Callithrix jacchus: one gene and its partner. The protein of the gene in region 1 purifies or fractionates together with the protein of each later gene. This does not show direct contact. Links are inferred from orthologs where the notes say so. Each region holds a gene or a part of one and is shown in the gene's direction. Other genes may lie near its edges.

What was found. The genes of interacting proteins can lie anywhere in the genome.
Region 2: the proteins of LLGL1 (region 1) and PARD6B purify together in Homo sapiens (affinity purification with mass spectrometry; 5 studies listed by BioGRID and IntAct, counting the BioPlex papers as one, with this or other methods). This does not show direct contact. The link is inferred for Callithrix jacchus from reciprocal best matches to the Homo sapiens genes LLGL1 and PARD6B.

What each region holds. Positions count from the first base shown.
Region 1 is NC_133506.1:82,662,547-82,668,929, forward strand, and holds part of LLGL1 (lethal(2) giant larvae protein homolog 1), read left to right. Parts: intron 1-1,096; coding exon 1,097-1,178; intron 1,179-1,273; coding exon 1,274-1,404; intron 1,405-2,521; coding exon 2,522-2,680; intron 2,681-2,759; coding exon 2,760-2,922; intron 2,923-3,015; coding exon 3,016-3,151; intron 3,152-3,391; coding exon 3,392-3,446; intron 3,447-3,580; coding exon 3,581-3,735; intron 3,736-3,834; coding exon 3,835-4,058; intron 4,059-4,215; coding exon 4,216-4,283; intron 4,284-5,315; coding exon 5,316-5,469; intron 5,470-5,543; coding exon 5,544-5,648; intron 5,649-6,237; coding exon 6,238-6,383. UniProt on the Homo sapiens protein: Cortical cytoskeleton protein found in a complex involved in maintaining cell polarity and epithelial integrity. Involved in the regulation of mitotic spindle orientation, proliferation, differentiation and tissue organization of neuroepithelial cells.
Region 2 is NC_133506.1:46,270,486-46,277,554, forward strand, and holds the start of PARD6B (partitioning defective 6 homolog beta), read left to right. Parts: upstream 1-2,295; 5' UTR 2,296-2,501; coding exon 2,502-2,567; intron 2,568-7,069. UniProt on the Homo sapiens protein: Adapter protein involved in asymmetrical cell division and cell polarization processes. Probably involved in formation of epithelial tight junctions.

The sequences.
Region 1 (6,383 bases):
TGTGTTGGGGTCTCCTGTGCACTTGCTTGTTCCTCGGGCTCATAAAGATGAGGAGACTGAGCCTCAGAAAGGAGGCTGGAGCCCGGGGTCCCCTTCCCTTCCTTGCTTCCCCTGACCACTGCCTGGAGCCCCTCAGATTGGGAAACTGAGGCTGGATAGGGCCAGCCCTGGTCACTAGAAGCTGTCCCTCCTCCTGCCAGGCTGGCCCCATCTCCTTGACGACCCTGGTTACTGCCCAGCTGCTCCTGTCCCCTCTTTTGTCCCTTCTTCAGAGTTCCTTGCCAGGCCTGTAGGGAATCCCAGCTCAAGCTCTAGGCAACGGCTCCTGTGTTGTCACTGGGGCAACGTTGCTGACTCCCCTGCATCCTCTGTCCTGGGGGCCCTCAGGCCCGCCCTGCAGTTCACCATCAGCCCTGGAGTTGCTGGGACTCAGGCACTGACACTGGGCACTTCAAGCAGGTCACCCGACCCCTCCAAGTCTCTGTGCTCATCTGTTGAATGGGCAGGCTAGGGTCTCTCCTCCCTCATGGTGGCGGTTGTTGGCTGCCTGCCTCGGAGGGAGGTGGGTTTTCTTACCCATGGCTGAAGTTTGGCCTGAAGCTGTGGGAAAAGGCAGGCTGAACTCTCCTCCCCTCTGGCTTTCTTGTCCAGGCCTGGCCTTGCATATTTGGCCTGCCTGGTCCCATCTGGCGAGGCACAGCTCCCAGAGCCCACAGACACCTGGGGCTGAAGTGAAGCGAAGCCCCAGCCTCTCACCAGGCTGAGGCCAAGCCTGCTGGGCGTGTGTATTCTCACTTGATCTGCAACAGCCCTCCAAGGCGTGGGAGTCACTGACTCAGTTTACAGGAAGTGAAGGTCTCATAGCAGCACCCGACTTGCAGGAGTGAGTGGAGCCTGCACACCCAGCTTGGGGATACTGTGGAGGTGCAGGGTGGGAGCTTTAGGGAGGGGGCCTCCGTTCTTCAGAGATGACTCCTGGATGGTCAGCCCATGGTGGGGCCCACCAGAAATAGTCTGGGTGAAGGAGGAGCCTTGGGTATCTCTTGCCATGATTTCCTGGTCTATGCCTGTTTCCACCTTGACCCGCCACCCTCAGCTATGGTGCTCCTGGTGTGGAATTCACAGGCCTACACCGGGATGCAGCCACCGTCACACAGATGCACTTCTTGCCCGGCCAGGTGAGCCTCTGCATCCCACTGGCCAGCTCCCTGTGGCCCCCATATCCACTCACTCCCCTAGGCCAGCCCAGTTTTCATCTCTGCTCATATACCAGGGCCGCCTCCTGACCCTGCTTGATGACAGCAGCCTGCATTTGTGGGAGATTGTCCACCATAATGGCTGTGCCCACCTGGAAGAGGCACTGAGCTTCCAGCTGCCCAGCCGTCCCGGCTTTGATGGTGCCAGGTACTGGAGAACTTGGCTGGGGCCAACCACCAGGCGGGGAGGATCCAGGGAGGCTCTGAGAGCCTGCTGTGTAAAGGCAGCATGGGGACGGGCAGCTGCTAGCAGGGGCTGGGTTCAGGGAGCCGTGCCTTGAGCCGTGCCTGGGTCCTAGGCTGCAGCTGTTGGACCCTGCAGACAGCGAGTCTGGTCTGATGCTGTCCCACCCCCCAGGCCCCTTTCCCTGCAAGGCCGTCAACAAGATTCTGTGGCGGAACTGTAAATCTGGGTAGGTCAAGGGAGTGGGTGTCTGATGTGAGTGAGGTGTACTCTGCGAACTTTTCAGGTTAAATGGGAAGTTTGGGTTGAGTCGAGGTGAGCAAGTAGTTAACATTGTGAACAGCAGGAGGTATATGCATTATATGCCAAACTCCTAGGACCTGAGGCCTGGCACTACACTTACTACATTGATGGGGGTATCTAGGGGTTTGGGGCAGGGCCTAAGCCAGTAAAATAACAGCAAGAGTCCCCTGGCCCCTCAGTTGTGGGTGGGAGACAGGCCTTTCTCTGCATAGGTGAGAGGACAGGCTTGAGGGCATGGAGGGTCCCATGGGCTGTGTTTGGTGAGGTGCTGGCAGCATGCCCCAGCTGAGTGAGAGTAGGGGGCATCCCTCTCCCCAGCCCTGCCTGAAATAGCTGGAATAAGGGAGTCCTAACCCAGGGTTGGATTCCTGGTGCCTCCCAGCTTCTGCAGATGGGGGTATCTGGGGCCCTCCTGTGAAGTGAGGAGATATCTGAGGGTTGGCAGCACGTTTCCTAGGTGGGGCTCAGGGAGGAGCTCCTGGTCCTGGCTTGGGCAATGCCCTGGTTCCTGCTGTCCTCTCCTGGTGGGTGGGAGGAGCTGGGAGCTCAGTCTGCAAGACCTGGGGAGCCTATTTTTATCTGTCTCCCTGCTGACATCCTGATGAATAATTGAGCGGGCTGATTATGACCCATGTCTTCCTGGGGTGGCTCTGTAAGTAGGCCCTAGTGTGTGCTGTGGAACCAGCGATGAGTTATCAGCAGTGGCCCAGCCCCTCACACCCCACCTCAGCAGGTGGATGGGCTCCCACCCTCACTCCCTTCCCCTTGTTACCTGCAGTGTACCACCCAGCCTTACTCGAGTCACAGTGGTCCTGCTAGTGGCTGCCAGCGACATAGCAGCCCTGGGCACTGAGGGCAGCAGTGTCTTCTTCCTGGATGTGACCACCCTGACCCTGCTTGAGGGGCAGACGCTCGCCCCAGGCGAGGTTCTGCGCAGGTAAGAGGCCTGGTGGGCTTCCTAGCACACACTCTATGCCCGGGAGGTTCTCCTGGCTCACACCCACCTTTCTTCACAGCGTGCCAGATGACTACCGCTGCGGAAAGGCGCTGGGCCCTGTGGAGTCGCTCCAGGGACACCTGTGGCACCCCACGAAGATTCTCATTGGCTACAGCCGGGGCCTGCTGGTCATCTGGAACCAGGCCTCACAGTGTGCGGACCACGTCTTCCTGGGGAATCAGGTAGGTGGGTGAGGCCTGTGTCCCCTCAGCCTGGGACCCTTGTGCACGCCCACCATGGCTCATGCCTGCCTGTTTGCCCACACCTGCCCACAGCAGCTGGAGAGCCTATGCTGGGGGCGTGACAGCAGCACTGTCGTCAGCTCGCACAGCGATGGCAGCTACGCTGTCTGGTCTGTGGATACCGGCAGCTCCCCAATGCTGCAGCCCACAGTGGCCACCACACCTTACGGTGAGTGCTGGGGAGGCTTCAGCCAGAGGGTGGTGACAGGAGGAGGCACCACTGAGCCAAGCCAAACTGGCTGAGGAGTGACTCCCCTGAGGGCCTGGTCTGGGGGCAGTGTGCCTCTCCCCCACCCCCCACGACTTTCCGGGGAGGCAGGAGGCAGCTGCAAGGTAGAGAGCAGTAGAGGAATGGCAGAAGTGCTAAGAACCACCAGCGAGTCTGGTCTGATGCTGTCCCACCCCCCAGGCCCCTTTCCCTGCAAGGCCATCAACAAGATTCTGTGGCGGAACTGTGAATCTGGGTAGGTCAAGGGAGTGGGTGTCCGATGTGAGTTGGGTCTCGATGGGGGCTGGAAGGGTGGGCTCTGCCTGGGACATGCAGTATGTACTCCAGAACCAGGTGGCTCATGGCTCTCACACCTCCCTCCACACACAGGGGCCACTTTATCATCTTCAGTGGTGGCATGCCCCGTGCCAGCTATGGTGACCGCCACTGTGTGAGTGTGCTTCGAGCTGAGACATTGGTGACGCTGGACTTCACCTCCCGCATCATCGACTTCTTCACTGTACACAGTATTCGGCCTGAGGATGGTGGGTGCCCTGCCCTGCCCTACCCTACCCTTTCCCAGCCCCACCTGGCACCTTTGCCACCTGTGGCTGCACTCACCCCATGGCCCTTCCATCCCACAGAATTTGATGACCCCCAAGCGCTGGCTGTGCTGCTGGAAGAGGAGCTGGTGGTGTTGGACCTGCAGACTCCTGGCTGGCCAGCGGTGCCCGCCCCATACCTGGCCCCACTGCATTCGTCTGCTATCACCTGCTCGGCCCATGTGGCCAATGTCCCCGCCAAGCTGTGGGCCCGCATAGTGAGCGCTGGCGAGCAGCAGAGCCCCCAGCCTGTCTCCAGTGCCTTGGTGTGTTCGGGGGTTGGGGAGTCTTGCAGGGTGGAGTCTTGATGAGTGGGGAGTGTTCCAGTTCTAGGCCTGGGGGTCAGAATGTGCCATGCGTGGGATGAGAGGGAGAAGATGTTTGTCCTAACCTTGTGTGCACATCTCTGCCACCCCCTCCCAGAGCTGGCCCATCACTGGGGGCCGGAACCTAGCCCAGGAGCCGTTGCAGCGAGGGCTGCTGCTGACCGGGTAGGTGTGCATGCGTATGTGGGTGAGGGGCCCCTTGCTGTTGGGGGAGAGCCCAGGAGACTCAGGCCTGGCCCCTGGTGGAACCAGGTAGTTCCTCATTGCCTAGGGTGGATTGGGATGAAACCTCCCTGGACCTTGGTTCAAGGTGCTGGCTGCCCTGCTCTGCCTTTTGGCCTGGAACTAAGCTCTACCAAACCTGAGGGCTCCACCCACCCAGCCTGCCTGCCCTGGGACTGGAAAATCTGGGCTGGCCCACACTGAGGTACCCAGGGAAGGTGCCAGAGAGCCCAACCTGGGCCTGGCGGGCACTGACGTGCCCGGTGACTCAAGCCCCAACTTCCTGCCCTGCCCCCACTCCCACCTGTGCTGGGACCCTCAGGCCTCTGGCTCTGGTGTGCCCTTCCTTGCTGAAGAGCTTACTGTGGCTTTCAGGGTTGCTGGAGTGTCTCAGCCAGTCACACACCTTTCATGCCCTGGCTCTGGGCTCTCACCACCGCCTGGGGCCCTGCTTGGGCTCTGCAGCTGTGTCCTAAGGCTGTGCCCTAGATTTGTCTGCTCCTTCCCCTGCCCCTCCCTGCTTCCTCCCAGCCTCTGCAGTCTTCCTGCTCCTCCACCTACGTGGCTGTCTTGGGCCCCAGACAGCTCCTCCCCCTGGGATGCCCCACACTCTGTGACTGCCCTTGCTCTTGATCACTTTTGATAAGTGCTCCAGTGTGGACAGAACCCCTATAGTCCTCTGCTCTCTGCATGTCCCCTTCTGCTACTTCCTTTTAATCAGGGTGGTCATTTCCACCCTGTTTGGTTTAAAGGGCCCACGTGTATGTGTTTCATGTGGCCTGGCATAGAGCGGGTGCACAGTGCGCCTGTGCTGTATACAGTAGGTGCCTATTGCTTGTCATAACAATAGGATTCCAGTCAGTGTTTGGCACGCGCGGTATGTGCTTAGTGAGTGGTCATCGGATAAGTGAATGGAGGGGTTGTACAGGCCTTCCAGGAACCCAGGGGTGGCCCTGACATCTGCCCTCCCTGCAGCCATGAGGACGGCACTGTGAGGTTCTGGGATGCCTCGGGTGTGGCGCTGCGGCCACTGTATAAGCTGAGCACAGCCGGACTCTTCCAGACAGACTGTGAGCACGCTGACAGCCTGGCCCAGGCTGCTGAGGACGACTGGCCACCATTCCGCAAGGTGGGCCCCTCCCCTGGCCCTGAGGAGCTGGTCCCTACTCTGCCTGGACTCATCATTCCTTCCCCTCCTTCCAGGTGGGCTGCTTCGATCCCTACAGTGATGATCCCCGGCTTGGTGTGCAGAAGGTTGCTCTCTGCAAGTACACAGCCCAGATGGTGGTGGCTGGCACTGCAGGCCAGGTAGGGCTGGGTGTGCCCTGGGTTGGAGATGTCAGGGAGGGTTTTCTGGAGATGGGTCTTAACTGGAGGGTCTGGTGGAGGGGGAGATGGACTGGCACAGGCAAAAGCCAAGGTGGGAATAGGGCTCCTGGTGGGACTGGTGGGGCTGGCTGGGGTGAGGACAGATAGGAAGTGGCCTGTTGCTGGGGGCCTTGAATCAGGTTCTGGCCGGGGGTCGGGAAACACAGAGTGTTGAAGAGGGGGCAGGAACTCGTGCCCATTCTGTGCTCAGGTGCTCTCATGGCATACAGGAAGTGCTCACTGTGCCCTTATTGCTAACTGGGAGACAGAGGCTCAGGGTAAGGATGGGCACTTCGCTCTCAGAGGGCAGGGACTAGTGTGTCTTGGTCACCACTGTGTTCCTTGGTGCTCAGCAAGGGCCTTGGTATACAGTAGGCATTCAGTGAGTGCATATTTGGCTGATGAACTGAAGACAGTCCTAGAACCACCTTGGTGGTACCTGGGGCTGCTTCAGAGGCTACAGGCCGAGTGGGGCCCTGGGCAGCCCCTCCCCTGTGCTGACATTCCGCCTGCCTGGCTGTGGACTCAGGTGCTGGTACTGGAGCTCAGTGATGTGCCGGCGGAGCAGGCGGTCAGCGTGGCCATCGTGGACCTCCTCCAGGACCGTGAGGGCTTCACATGGAAGGGCCATGAGCGGCTGAGCCCACGCACAGGGCTGCTGCCCTGGCCTGCTGG
Region 2 (7,069 bases), about 36 Mb from region 1:
GCTGGGTGCTGCTCCCAGGGTGTGGTCCTGCCAATCAGGGAGAGGAGGGGGAAACCTAAGAATCCAGCTCTCTAAAGGTGGTGACATGGTTTCTAGTCCAGCCATGATCAGAATGTGGTCCCTGGGAGTCCCTGAGACCCCTTTATGGGGGGGGTCTTTGCAAAGCCAAAACTGTTTTCACAAAACTAAGATGTCATTTGTTCTCCTCATTGTCATTGTCTGGAGAGTATACAATGGAGTTTTCCAGAAGGGACAAGACGTGATGACATCATCAGTCTGATGACTGTTGGAATGCATGCTGGTGTATTCCCATGTTTTAGACACATCCGTTTTAATTCTAAGATAAATACTGAAAGATATAACACATAAAGTACTTTGGGGTCCTCCATGATTTTTAATAGTGTAAACGGGTCTTGAGAACAATAAAGTTGGGAACTGCTGTGCTAGTCCAAACGGGAGTTACAGGCCCTGCAGCTGCTCTGATAGGCACTTTATTTCCGGCTGAGCTTGAGTCACCTCGTATGTGCTTTCGTACAGCGGGTGGAGGCAGCTTGCTTATTTATTATTCAGCTTGGATTGGTGTCCTTTCCACCTGTGCTGCCACCTCAGAAGACCAGAAAAACCTTAAATTCCCCCACAAACGTCTGGTGACCTGAATCCTCCAGGGGGAAAAAAAAATGAGCTTCTCACCTTTGAACACAGGTGGGGCAAAGTGAGCCTGCAGAAAGGACACCCTCAGCTGCAGCACAGTACCCACTGGGAGTCAGGCTCTGTACTACTCAATGACAGCAAAGCCCAAGTGCTCCCTGCCTTCGGGAGCTTTCATTCTATGCTGGAGGCGGATTACTCACAAAACTCAGATGCACACAAAAATGGAAACCTGGAACTTGTCACCCGTGCTGGGAAACCGGTACAAGTGTTAGGAGGCATCCGAGGTGGGCAGGGAGGTAAGGGGAGGAAGGCACTCAAACCACTCTTCTTGCCAGATCTAAAGCTGGACCCTCCTCCTCCACCTCCACTCCCCCACCCCCTTTCTGGTTTGCAGGTTTCAACAGCTCTTGGATTCCCAGAACCCACAGGGAGCCCTTGGGACTTGGGAATCTCCTCCAGCCCAAATCTTCAGTCTTCTCCTCTCCTCCCCATGGCCAACAGGGTCTGTGTGAAGAGAGGCCGGGCTCAGGGACTGGGACATTCAGAGAGGAGAATTCAGAGTTTTGTTGCTCTGGGACACAGCTTGGTCACTCCGGGAAACGAACACAACCCATTGGCTGTCATTACTAGAAACAGCGAATGGCTAAGGAATGGCGGGAGGAGGGAAGAGGACTTCAGAGGTTTAAAGAAAAAAAAAAAAAAAAAAAGCACTGGAAGACCGGACTAGAAATCCTCTGGGAGGCTGGGCCCGCAAGGAGCCTTCCCGCGCCTCAAGCCCACTTTCCTTCCCTCTCGACCTGACGAACTTAGGGCGTGCAGAGTCTCTTCGGACAAAGTCAAGCCAAGAGAGCCCTAAGCTTCTCCTCCAGCAACTGCTACAGAAGCTAGAAAACTTAAATTTTGCAAACAAGACTTGCAGCGGGACACCTAAGCGACGCTAAAGGGCGGTGGAGGGGATGCCGCTTCCCAAAGTGGAAGCGGGGAGGGGGACCGGCGGACACCAAACAGCCCCGTGGAGCCTCGGCCACCGGCAGCGCTAGGCGCCCCATCCCCAGAGCCAAGCGTGTGACTCGCGCGCCGGACAACGAGGCGCGCGCTTGCGCGTGCGCAAAAGACCCACCCAGCCGAGCCCTTCTTCAGGTGCGCTCGCGCTTCCGGCCGACCGCCCCGCGTGCTTTCCTCGGGCGGAAACTCCAGAACCCGCGCATGCGCCCTCTGGCTCTCCGGCTTGATGAGGGGCGTAGGTCCACGGCTTCAGGTGATCCCGCCCCTCCCTCGAAGCGCAGGACCAATCGCGCAGCGAAAGGCGGGGTTTTTTGAGGAGGCGGCCCGCCCACGCATCGCGCGAGGCGTGTATCGATTGGTTGGCGCCGCGGGCGCAGGTGCGCGTTTCCTATTGGGTGTGGGCGGAGCGCGAGCGGTTGCAGCAGCTTCGGGGGCGGCAGGTGAGCACGCGCACGCGCCGCGGCTGTGGCCCGGCTCGGGTGCGCGCGCGCGGGCTCGCGGAGGAGGTGGCTGAGGGAGAGGTTGCGGCGCCTGTGGCCTCCGCTCCGCCCCCTCCTCCTCCTCCTCCTCCAGCGCTGTCGTCGCCGCCGCCGCCGGGGCCCGGAGGGAGGGAGCTGCGTCTCCGCCCGCCGCACAGCCAGTCCGACCCTCGGTCCCGCCGTGTGAGCAGCCGACCGAGTGCAGCTCGGCGCAGACGCCAGAGGTGCGGCCGCCTTCTTTGCAGGTGCCTGTGAGGAGGCTCCCGGGCCGCAGCCGCCTTCCGAGCCCGCCGGCCGCGCACTCGCTCCCTGCTCTCCAGAGGGGCCGCCCGGCCGGAGGAGGCCGCCGCTGGCCCGGCGTTCAGCATGAATCGCAGCCACCGGCACGCGGCGGGCAGCGGCTGCCTGGGCACCATGGAGGTGAAGAGCAAGGTGCGCGGGGCACGGGCTGGGCGGAGCGGCGGGCCTGGGGGGCCAGGGCCTGGGAGAGGCTGGGCAGGTCTCGGAGCGCCGGGGGAGGCGACGGTCCGAGCTGCCCCGGGGTCTGGACGTGCGGGCGGGGGATGGTGGGTAATAAACTTGCCGAGGAGGGTGCGGCGGGGGTCGGTGGGCGCTAGTGTCCGTCCGCCCATGGCCCCGGCAGGAAGAAGATCTAATCCAGCGTTTAATCTCGTCCCGTAAATCTCATTCCCGTGTTCACGGCTGGGAGTAGGGGCCAAGGTATGCCCGAGGATGGCACACATTTAGTGGAATGCGAGGCGGCTCAAAAGATGTAGGGGAATCCTGCCTGCTGGGCTGTGAATAAAGGGCCCTGGACCACCTCGTTCCCCCTTTCTGGGGTTCAGGGGCGCATCGAGTGGCGAAGGAGAGAGCCCAGTGAACTAAATAGCCCTTGAAAAGTTCCCTTTGCTTCCTGCTAGCGCTCTTTCTAGAACTAACTTTGGTATGCATTTAATCTGTAAAATTAGCGCTATCACCTTACGCTGGAGTAGCACTTTACAGTTTGAGTTTGGATGCTCTTTTCATTCCATCCTGCTACTTACTTACATCAAGTGTTTTTCCCCTTGACCAGCGGTATGCCAATCTGCTGATAATTATTTCGGTATTCACTGAATTCCTAAATCGCAAGGCTCGGTGAGCAGGGGAGTCTGTAGGGATTAGTTAGGGAATGCCTTCCAAAGGGGGTTTTGAGATGGAGTTTGAAGGTGATCGGCAGCTACGGGAACATTTTCGACGAAGTTTCTTGAGTTGAAGAGTTAAAAGGAGCTTAGATAGTCTAGTCCAATTCTCTGAGAAGACTGAGGTTCAGAAAGGTTATGACTTCCCAAGCTCTTTTTTTGCAATGCCTTCATGCCTTTTTAACAGTAACTTTTAGGCACTGCAGAATACAAAACAGGGCACTGGCTGGGCCCTCGGAACATTTAAAATAGAATTGAAAAGGCCAAAACACAGAAAACGAAAAAATTGAAAGCGTATCAATTTCAAAAAAAAAAAAAGAAGTAATGGAGCGTCATAGATTGTAAGCCTACTAAGGAGTATGCAGAATCAAGGAGTGAGTTGAGTGGAGTAAGGAAAGCTTTCTAGAGCCTCTGGGTAGAATGGTTTTATTGTCTACGGTTGATAAGCAAAGTTCTGTAAGTTTCTGTAACTGAGAATCACATCGAGAAAATCTACATTTGTTTGTAACATCATTTAAAAATGTGATTTGGCACTGAAATGAGGATTGGCACTAGTTTCAGAATCAGTAAGAAGTGTAGTTATAGCAATTTAAGGAATGTTCGTGTGTCTGTGTGCCATGTGCACGGCATAGCAAATTGAAGTGACTTGCTTGAGCTATATAGCGTGAAGATGACCCAAAATATGTAGCAGAGCTTTTCCTCTAGCGGTATAGTGGCAGTAGTGGTTCCGTGCCCAGTGGTTGAACCTTCTTACAGCATTTCTGTTATAAGTCTCGTTTGGATTTGTGGGCGTTGAGGTTATGGAAAGAAAAACACTTGTGATATTGCATAATCTTAAAAATAAGTTTATAGCCCTAATTTGGGTAGCAAATCTTTAATTTTTTTCTCATAAAAAATGAGTTGGAATTCTGTTTTATCAGTATTTATCAGCATGCTGATAAATACAATCAAATAGTAGTTTATCTCTAGTACTAAGAAACCTTGAGTGCTTTAAAACTGGAATTTCAGGCTTTTTGCCTTTCTCTTGTCAACTGATTTTTGAATCTTTCACATACTTCTGTCTAAACTACATGTTGTATATTTGAACTGCCATACTGCACTTTTAGTGAACCATGTCTCTTAAGTAGACTCATACACTGATTCTAGAAACATGCACTGAATGAATGCACTGAATGCACTATTCTAGCTGTTGACAAATAGGCAAGGTATAGGTAGGGGAGTATTCCTAATGTGTCTGTGACACCTTCTATCTTTCAAATATATATTTCTGATACATTTATTTTCAGCGGATTGAAATATTTGTCATCTAATCATTTAAAAAATATTTGGAGGGGTTTTTAAAACAGTATTTCCTTTGACATTGCTTTAGTGATAGCACAGCTTTTTTACAACACTAATCCCTAAGAGTTTGTAACGAAATAGGTAGTGTGCAGGTCCTTTTATTAATTCTTTTATTTTTCGTGTCAGGATCTTGCTCTGTCACTGGGGCTGGAGTACAATGGCACGATCATGGCTCACTGCAGCCTTAACCTCTCGGGCTCAAGTGATTCTCCCACTTCAGCCTCCTGAGTAGTGGGATTATACGCATGCGCCACTACACCCAGGTAATTTTTTTTTTTAATAGAGACGGGGGTCTTGCCAAGTTGCCCAGGCTGATCTTGAACTCCTGAGCTCAAGTGATGCCCCCATCTCTGCCTCCTGAAGTACTGGGACTACAGGCATGAGCCACTGCACCCTACCTGGTCTATTTTTCTTTTCTTTTATTTATTTTTATTTTTTAAAATCTTTTTAGAAACAGTTTTGCCATGTTGCTCATGCTGGTTTCTAACTCCTTAGCTCAAGTGATCTGCCCACCTAGGCCTTCCAAAGTGCTGGGATTACAGGAGGTAGCCACCACACCGGGTTCTCGTCCATTTTTAATATCTCTTTTTCTTCATATAAAGCAGTAGTGTCAGCCGTGTGTGGTGGCTCACTCCTGTAATCCCAGCACTTTGGGAGGCCAAGGTGGGCGAATCACCTGAGGTCAGGAGTTCAAGACCAGCCTGGCCAACATGATAAAATCCTATCTCTACTAAAAACACAAAAATTAGTTGTGCTTGGTGCTGCATGCCTGTCATCCCAGCTACTTGGGAGGCTGAGGCAGGAGAATCATGTGAGCCTGGGAGGTGGAGGTTGTGGTGAGCCGAGATTGTGTCACTGCACTCCAGCCTGAGTGACAGAGGGAGACTCCGTCTCAAAAAAATAAAAAGTTTGAAAAATGAATTAAAGCAGTAGTGTCAACTTTCTTATCTTTGCAAGTGGCAGGGAAAAATAATGATAATAAAATAATGGAGAACGTAAATATAAGTATAGTTAAATTTGTGATACCAGCTAGTATGTCACTTTTCTTTGGAAACTGATTTATCTTCCTAACTGTATCTCTAGTGTTGGAAAGATTCTTAATCAATAATCATGGTGATGTCCTTTAATAACCCTGGAACAGTCTTTGAGTCATAAAATTTCCTAATTATTATTCATAAGCAAATAGACTATGAAAATTAAGTTTGTATTTCTAGAATGTACCAACAGACACTGGGGGAAGGGAGTCCATACCTATTCTGGATGGCTAGGACAAACTAGATTAGGCTGTAAAACAGTTGTAAATGGTTCACATAGTGACTAATTGCTGATTGAATCTTAATTTTATCTGTTAGGTTTTTTGTTCATATAGTAAAAAGTTATCTTAATCCTATTGTTGCAAGAAGCATAACAATTTCTCTGGTTTTTTTTCTCCCCCATGCCAGCGTTGGCAAAGGTGCACATATACCATGAAGCTATATGATTTTTAAAATTGTTTTTATCATAACAGTTAAGAGAAGAAATTTCATCCAAAAGCTTTAACAAAAACACTGAAACCCTAAAATGTTAAATGATCAGATGTTACTCCCATTCCTACATCAGGGGAAGTGATAAACCCTGTAGATGAATCAGAAAGCTGTGATGCCAGAATAAAGAAAATGGAGGAGAAACTGTGACTTTTGATAACATCATAAGACTAACTGATATGAAGGGTGTTCCCTGAGTTTTTATTTACTTTGAAATGTGAAGGTGTGACTAAACTTTTTGAGAGCTTTAGATATGAGTCACCTTATTTTCTTGTCAGATGTTAGTGTTTATGTTTTAGGAATGTGTTTTGGGAACTGTTTTAATTTTTTGTTAGAGGTAAGAGGTGTTTTTAGTGAGTTTTGATTTTAATTTAAAACCAATGAGGAGTATAGGTGTAAGGAGGGCAGATGAACTTTAGATAGAGCAAAACCAGTGTATCCAGATGTCCCATGGGGCCTTTGGGAAAATGAATTGACATATCTACAAACTGCTTAAATTATGACAAGGGGCTTTCTCTACATGGTACTTAAGTCTGTCCCAGTAGTATATTAGTATTTTTCTTTTCTTTTTTTTCTTTGGGACATAATATTTTTACATTAGTATTTCTTGCTAGTAATAGATATTTGGAGGAGATACAAGTTCAGTAGTTAAACATACTTGGCGAACATTTGTTTAAATATTTTAAAAAATCAATGTAGTACGTAAATGAGCCTTTAAAGTGCTGGTCTCCACAGTGATTCCCAAGAGCATAATTACAGTAATGTAGCATTTCTGAAACTTACATGACTGGGACACTTTTTGGGGAAGGCTGATTAACTTTTCTTAGGTTTCCACATTTGAGGAAATGTGATGCTATTCCCACAGTAAGTTATAAATCCTGTTTATTATGGA